Linked DNA regions of Nothobranchius furzeri. The protein of the gene in region 1 purifies or fractionates together with the protein of each later gene. This does not show direct contact. Links are inferred from orthologs where the notes say so. Each region holds a gene or a part of one and is shown in the gene's direction. Other genes may lie near its edges.

The links.
Region 2: the proteins of BTB/POZ domain-containing protein 1 (region 1) and cops6 purify together in Homo sapiens (affinity purification with mass spectrometry; 3 studies listed by BioGRID and IntAct, counting the BioPlex papers as one, with this or other methods). This does not show direct contact. The link is inferred for Nothobranchius furzeri from reciprocal best matches to the Homo sapiens genes BTBD1 and COPS6.

Annotation. Positions count from the first base shown.
Region 1 is NC_091749.1:41,447,162-41,451,624, forward strand, and holds the start of BTB/POZ domain-containing protein 1, read left to right. Parts: upstream 1-1,392; 5' UTR 1,393-1,544; coding exon 1,545-1,957; intron 1,958-3,012; coding exon 3,013-3,169; intron 3,170-4,463. Other genes in the region: transmembrane 6 superfamily member 1, read right to left, coding at 115-218, 365-456.
Region 2 is NC_091741.1:79,983,603-79,987,370, reverse strand, and holds the end of cops6 (COP9 signalosome complex subunit 6), read left to right. Parts: intron 1-536; coding exon 537-599; intron 600-675; coding exon 676-723; intron 724-814; coding exon 815-929; intron 930-1,615; coding exon 1,616-1,708; intron 1,709-2,035; coding exon 2,036-2,136; intron 2,137-2,542; coding exon 2,543-2,683; 3' UTR 2,684-2,947; downstream 2,948-3,768. Other genes in the region: and3 (actinodin3), read right to left, coding at 3,533-3,768. UniProt on the Homo sapiens protein: Component of the COP9 signalosome complex (CSN), a complex involved in various cellular and developmental processes.

The DNA of each region.
Region 1 (4,463 bases):
GCACACTTTTAGGTTTTCTCTTACATTCATGACGTTTTTTTTTTTTTTACTTGATACCAAAAAGATGTAGCTTGTTTTGGACAGAAACTTGTGTTTCAAATAGAAAATTCCTACCATAGAAAAGTGGATCAACTGGAGCTTTCTTCTTGAGCATAAAACGGACTGAAATAGCCAGAATCACAACTGCCGTGCTCCCAGCAAAGAGAAAAGCTTCAGCACTGGATGCAACATAAGAACACCATGTTTTTCTACCCAATGGGCTAAAAATAATCAAGAAATGTTTGGCTACATCTAATAATATTTGTTTGTATCACCACAGAAAGTTAAATTTACAACATGAAAAAAATTGTTTACAAGCACTTACCTGTTGTTGTAAACTAGAGAGTTGAATAAATAGCAGAAGGGTATGGACATCAGGGACAGCATGAACACCCCTGTCCCAGCAGAAGCGCTCATTGCTGCCCAGTGGGGTCGAGCTTAAGACGGTGAAGAATTTAGAATAAATTGACTCCTGATTTAGTTTGTGTCATAATTTAGGGGATGTTTGGAGAGTGCTGGAGCAGCAGGCATGCTCGGTTCGTCCGTCTGGTCTGTCTGGATTAATGAATCTACTTTTAACCCTCTGGAGGCAGGCGTTGCAGGTTTGCAACAGTTAAAACTACCTACCTGGTTACTCCACATACGTATTTCAGGAGCATTTTTTTTAACTCATATGTGAAGGACTTACTTGTTCGTCCATTTATCAAAACTTATTTTGAGCCTGAGAGGATTAACTTCCTCCCAACGCGCGCGCACAGCTGCTCACATTCATGAGCAGACAAGAATGTTCCAGATTTTCTTTATTACACTGTCTAGCCAAATAGCCTAAGTGACAATTAAACTCAATATTTTTAATGTTTTGGTTTTGACAAAGATATTCAAGTAAAACAAACTCCTTACATCTAGAGGGCAAATGGAAAAACTGAAACTGGGTGCAGAAAGATAATTTGGAGCATGAAGCTGCTTCAATAAATTAAATAAATATATTTTGAAATAATAATAATAAATAAACTTTACAGAGAGAGAGAGAGAGAGAGAGAGAGAGAGAGAGAGAGAGAGATTGTGTCTAAAAGAAAAAATATGACTATGTGCAGCATCCCATATCATATCTCTCTTTTTTTCTAACTTGTTCTTTGCATTCTTAATTTTGCGCTGACCTCTTATACCAAATCAAAGAGTGTTACTGGTTCTAAGCATAGACTGTACATACGGTTCTAAGAAAGTTTTCTAGTTTTTACTTGGTTTCAAGGACAAAAACTGCAATGGCCATCTAAAGTCAAAGGGTGGCGGTAGTGCAACTAAAGGCTTACAGACTGCCGTAAAACACCAAAGAAGAAGAAGTGTTTCGAGGAAGTACGTTTGGGTTTTGTTAGCAAGCCGCAGCTGTAGCCTCGTGATGGATAATACGTAAATAAATAATGATGCACCCATGCGGTCGATTCCCGGTCATGTAACAAAAGCGGGATTTTTTGTACTAACATTTGTATATTAGTTTGTGTGTTGTAATGGCCAGCGGGAGTGGTAGCGGATTGGCGTCAAACCAAAACAGCCAAGAGGCTGCATCAAACTCGTCTCAGTGTGGAGCCGTGGCGTCGTTGTCTAACATACCAGTGTCCGCTCCCGGACCGTCCGCCTCCCCGCCTGTCCTCGGCCTTCACCGGGAGCCCATGTACAACTGGCAGGCGACCAAGAGTTCACTGAAAGAGCGCTTCGCCTTCCTCTTCAACAACGAGCTGCTCAGCGACGTCAGGTTCATAGTGGGGAAAGGCAGACAGGCCCAGAGGATACCGGCTCATAAATTCGTCCTGGCCGCAGGCAGCGCCGTCTTTGATGCCATGTTCAACGGAGGAATGGCCACGACCTCGACTGAAATAGAGCTCCCAGATGTGGAGCCAGCAGCCTTCCTCTCCTTGCTCAGGTACTTCGGACAGGTGTATGTACTCTAAATACATGCAACTTCAGGTTGTCACACAACACTGTTCTCATTATTTTACTCAGTGGGCTTGTGGTTTTTACATTTTTAATTGTGGCAAATACTTCAATTAGAAAAACATTGCACATTTGGTGTGATACTAACATTTGCATTGTAAGAGTAGCTCATTATTTCCTTTAAATCAGTTTTTAATGGATCTGTCCAGTCGTCACACCTGATCAGTCAGTGGAATAAAGAGTTATGATGGTCAGTCATTTAATATGGACTCAAGTTATTCAGCACAAAACCCTAACTCAAGGGATGAACTGGTGTTGCATCCTTTCATAACAAGAACTAGCTTGTTACAAAGACACGTCTTTGTGTGGCTTTAATTAGAGAGCCACACAAATAAAATCCTTTTGGATGTGTTTTTAAATGTTTTATTATTATTATTAATTCTCTAAGGACATCTTTCAAGTTTTTATTGAAGTTCTATTAAAAAATATCTCAAAAACCTCATTTAAGGTTTCTTCCTGTTAAAAGGGAGTTTTCCTTAGTATGAGGATTGCTGTAAAGTCACTGACATCGGTCAGTGACTTGATGCAATTTGCTGGGTTCCTTTTATAGGAAACTTTTTACTGATTGGCTTAATGAACTGACCTCTATGGGAATGTTTATTGTGTGAAGTGCCTTGAGACAACTCTTGTCGTGATTTGGCGCTATATAAATAAACTTGAATTGAATTTATTTAAAATCACTTTGCTGAGGTAATCAATGAACACAAAAAACTGTTTTTGTCACAGGTTGCTAGTGACAAAGCAACCCAATGATTTCAATGTATTTCATTTTCCATTAATATAAACGGAAAAGGAAATTGAAATGTCTTCAAATGGTTTAAAAGGAAATAAAACCATCAAGTTTTTAAATAGCAGTGTTTAAAGAAGTGATATGTGATTTGGGGTGGGGTTTTTTCCAGAGTATTTTAACTGTGTGGGAGTTTATAGTGTTATATAAGTGCTGGCTAAACATCCCAAAATGTAACTATGTTCCTTCTTATGTAGGTTCCTGTATTCTGACGAGGTCCACATTGGTCCGGAGACGGTGATGACGACTCTGTATACAGCCAAGAAATATGCCCTCCCTGCCCTGGAGAGCCACTGTGTGGAGTTCCTCACTAAACACCTCAGAGCTGACAACGCCTTCATGCTTCTCACTCAGGTTACCGTCTCGCCTGCATAATTCAGCTTTTACGACGACAATACTGGGCACCTCCAGTTGCTATGTGACAATTGATTTTAAATACTAATTCAATTTATTTAAAGGTGAAACTTGACAAAAGCACCTTTTGCCACTGAAGGGTTAGTTTGTATGCCCTCAGATCTTCCTGTGAGCAGTTTCTCCTTCATAAATGCTCTTGTTGAAATTCATGATAATAAAAAAGCAAGAGAATTATTCAAAAGAAGAAACAAAGAGTTGTTATCAGCATGTTCTGTTCTCGGGCAGAGTACTAGAAGCTGTTATGTGATAAAACGTGCCAAAAAGTCAGTGTTGCACATTTTATCAGCTGGGATCCACATAACCGAAGCCCTTACAGATGATAAGGCTGTTTACCTTATTTTGTGTTCACAGCAGACCATCTTCCGGCTTCTGCTGGTAGGATTAGTTTAACGTTAGTTGATCTGTTATTTTTGGGCTTTTCCTTTCCACTGCTGCCTGCTTTATTCATGTGTTTCACCCTGCAAGCATAACTCAACACAAACAACTTAAAGGTCTTTTTTATAATATTTTATTTGTCAGGTTTTTAGTCAAGCCATATAAACAAACATATGTTTATAATCAAAATAAGAATAAAAATACTAAACTTAAAAATAAAAAAGACAAAAAAAAAAAAAAGAAAAAGAGGGAGAAAAAAGGAGGGGGGGGGGGGGGGGGGCTGCCAGACCACATTGTAAACAGAAAGGTTTGTAAAACCGTCACTATTAAGCACATTAATGGGCCATTCCCATCTGTACCGGGTCGACCCGGGCCGGGTAGCGTAGGTTGTTTACATTTCTGGGTGGCCTGGTATTTTTCCGGGCCAACCAAGGCTCATTCTCAGCCCTCTTGTCGAGGGGGTCTGCTTCAGGCCGACCAGGGCCAACACACCCACTGCTGACAGCAAATTCACACCTTCCATTAGAGCAAGCCTCTGATTGGTGGGTAGAATCAGCCCACATGGGCTTAAGGCAATGATGTGTGGAATCAACCGGGCCAGGCTGGGGCCGACTGGGGCTACCCGGCCCGGGCCGACCCGGTACAGATGGGAATGGCCCATTACAGATGATAGAGCAAAATTACATTAGGTATGTTTCAGCACCAGTCATTAATCCAAACCATTTCACCAGCTAGATAGCCTTGTGGTGGGTTAGGAAAGGTCTCCAGCCCTCCTCAAGCTTGCTGCGAGAGCCAGTCTTGTGTGGATGTAGCAGTTCCAGTTGAATGACACGTAGCATCTCTGTGAGCCAATGTCCAA
Region 2 (3,768 bases), on another chromosome or scaffold:
ATCGGAGAGAGCGAGTGGGAGTGACAATGTGGAGGAGATTAGAAAGATATGGGGGAGCAGAGATTATGGATGGCTTTAAAGGCATGAAGAAGGCATGAAGTCAATTCTGTACTTGACAGGGAGCCAGTGAAGGGGTAATGTGATCAAAAGTGGAGGTCTTGGTGATTATCCGGGCAGCTGAATTTTGGACTAACTGTAACTTGTTGAGTGATTTTAGAATACAGGTCAGTTCATTAAGCCAATCAGTAAAATGTTTCCTGTATAAGGAACCTAGCAGATTGCATCAAGTCACTGACTAGTGTCAGTGACTTTACAGCAATCCTTATACTAAGCAAGCATAAAGCGACAGTGGAGAGGAAAACTCCCTTTTAACAGGAAGAAACCTCCAGAGAATCCTGGCTCAGTATAAGCAGCCATCCTCCACGACTCACTGGGGATCGAGAAGACAGAGCAGGCACACACACACACACTCATGAGTTTTGTTATTAATAAGTGTTTATAATACTTTTGTTGTATACGTGTGTGTTTGCTGCCAGGTGTGTGAGATCATTGAGAGTCCACTCTTCCTGAAGCTCAACCCAATGACCAAACACACTGACGTAAGTTTATCCTCGGTGCATCGGTGAAGCAGCAGCAATCAGACGGGTTTTAAAAAGTGTTTCCTTTCTCCTTCAGCTTCCTGTTAGTGTTTATGAATCTGTGATTGACATCATCAGTGGCGAGGTACGTCCTGCTCAGTTGAAAAACTTCTTTTCACAATAATTTTGTTCTCTACTAACATTTCTGTGTGTGGTTTTCTTTTGTTGCCACCCAGGCTACCATGTTGTTTGCTGAGCTGACTTACACTTTAGCCACAGAGGAGGCAGAGAGAATCGGTGTTGATCATGTAGCTCGAATGACAGCCACCGGCACCGGAGAAAACTCCACAGGTGAGGAGAACAAGCCAGGCCAAACAGGGATCTAATTCAGTATTTATTTATTTTGTTTGATTTGTTAGTCTGTGTTTATGACTCTGTTACTTACACCAAGTTTAGCTCAATATCTGTAAACTTCACTAAGTTACATCCATCTTCGTGTTTGCTAACGTTGATTAGCTGTGACGGCCATCTTTAATGGACTCTAAAGCTAATTTAATTGTAAATACACATCAGAGTTTCGATAAAACCCACCATGTGGGTCATGAGATGCTTTGAGAGACGAATACACACCAGCAGCTGGTTCAGAGTCAAGGCGAGTGAGGAAGAGGCAGGTTGTTAGTCACCACTCTGATGTGTCTGATGTCAAAGTCCCATTAGTTGTCACACACACAGGTGTGTGTGCGACATTTGTTCTCCGCATTTGACCCATCCCCTGGGGGGAGCGGTGAGCAGTAGACACAGCCGCGCTCGGGAACTATTTGGTGGTTTAACCCCCCAATCCAACCCCTTAATGCTGAGTCTCAAGCAGGGAGGCATTGGGTCCCATTTTTTCAAAGTCTTTGGTATGACCCGACCGGGAATCGAACCCTGATCTCCCAGTCTCAGGGCGGACACTCTACCACTCGGCCACTGAGAAAGGTTATTCTAACTGACTGTGTTTGTTTTTAATGTGTTTATTGTTCTCTTTCCTCTGTCAGTGGCTGAACACCTTATAGCTCAGCACAGCGCAATAAAGATGCTCCACAGCCGAGTGAAGATAATTCTAGAATACGTCAAAGCCGTCGAGGCAGGTGAGAGACACGTTTATGAGGCTCCGAGGGGAAAAATGTCTCAATACATCAGTTAAGCAGCTGTTCTCACTAGGTTCTTCCCCTCTTGTCTTCACACACACACACACACACACACACACACACACACACACACACACACACACACACACACACACACACACACACACACACACACACACACACACACACACACACACACACGTACAAGCCCTTTTGTAAATAAACATGATCCCAACACATTATTATATGCTTTTTAAGTTATTTTTCCTGTGTGTGCATGCATGTGTGTGTGTGCATGTGATGCGTGTGTGTTTGTGTGTGTAACAGGAGAGGTGCCGTTTAACCACGAGATCCTTCGTGAAGCTAACGCCCTCTGCCACAGACTGCCGGTCCTCAGCACCATAAAGTTCAAAACGGATTTCTATGACGTGAGTAAACTTGGTTGTAATTCAGAAATATTCATGTTTCATGACTAGATTTTTAGGTTTTTTAGAAAAAGCGCAAAGATTTAGTTAATGAACACCTATTTATGAGTTTTAAAATGAACACTGAGCTAAATGTTGATGTAGAAAGAGTACAGGAGAGCACGGAAATTATTAGAAGCTATTTATTCCTATAATAGAGAAAAATGAGCCTAAACCTGGGTAAAGCTCAAAGCAGCAGGGCAAACATGGGGCTGTCGTTGTGTTTATTTAATGTGAGTAAGAAAAAGAGATTTTCAGGTTTGTTTTCTACCATCTAAACATGACGCTGGCTGTTTGTGAGCAAAATATCAACATTTATGTAAGCAAAAGTCCAGATTTGATATGTTCCTATTTCCCCTTGATCCTGCAGCAATGTAATGACGTGGGCCTCATGGCCTACTTAGGCACCATCACCAAGACTTGCAACAGTATGAACCAGTTCATCAACAAGTTCAACGTCCTGTACGACCGGCAGGGCATCGGCCGAAGGATGAGAGGACTTTTCTTTTGAGCTGAGAGACAAAAACGCACCAACTCCTCCACCTTCTTCTTTGTTTTTTTGTTTGGTTGTATTTTGATGAGCTAAAAGAAACTCTTACGCAGCTTTCCCCCACAAAGTTCAACAGCGAGTGTATCTCAGAGCACACGATTCAATAGTCAATCCATACAAACTCTTTTAACTCTCTGGGTCACTGTACATGGACTTGATCTAATTTTACTCCGTTTGTTTTACTGTTTCTGTAATAAATGATCTTGTTTTTTTTTTTTCATGGAACCTCGTGTCTGTTGTTTGAATGCATTAATAAGAAAACACACATGGTGGTAATAACACAGCTGCAGGTTTAAAGGAGCTCATGAAAGCTTCGCTACGTGGAGCTGCAGCTCTAGCAGCTTTAGTGTTTGTTGCTAACTCATCGTTTTGTTGTGTTTTTGAACTCGTCCTCCTGCTGCGTGATTTTTGCCCGTGGAGGTTTTGAGACAGACATGCATGTGTGGCAGGAAAAATGAGGTTCAGAGCTTCCAACGGAGTCAGCAATTACTGGAGTGTTTAATGCAAAGCAGCAGCGGATGTAATGACCTGTGAGTTGGAACTTTACGAGTCCCAACTTAAACCCGAGAGGATCCAACCCTTTGGGTCTCCTCTTGCATTTTTCATTAAGTCAAAAACTCCACTGATTTCACTCATCTTTTTTTTTTATTGGCTCACAACTTAAACATAATTTGCACATCAGTGAATCAGGTGATGATAAATACAGTCAGGTGTGTTTTTATTCACAACTCATCAAAGCTGCTTCCTTTACAGAGACACTGAACCCCTGGACGGGTGTTTTGAGTCAGTTCGTTTCATCTAAAGAGACGTTCACTTGCCCCCCTCTGCAGGCCCCTCGGGGGCGTCGGCCGGTTGTGGGTACTGGAAGCGGGCCGGGTCGTACAGATCATCTCTGGGGTCGTAGGGGTGAGCATAATAGTAAGGGTGAGGGAAAAAGGTTAGTTTTTTCTCCATGGGGGCAGGAGGTGCAGGTGGTTCCTCCACAGGTTCCTCCTCTTCCTCCTCTTCAGGAGGGGGTGGTGGCGGTGGGGGGACCAGGATCTTCC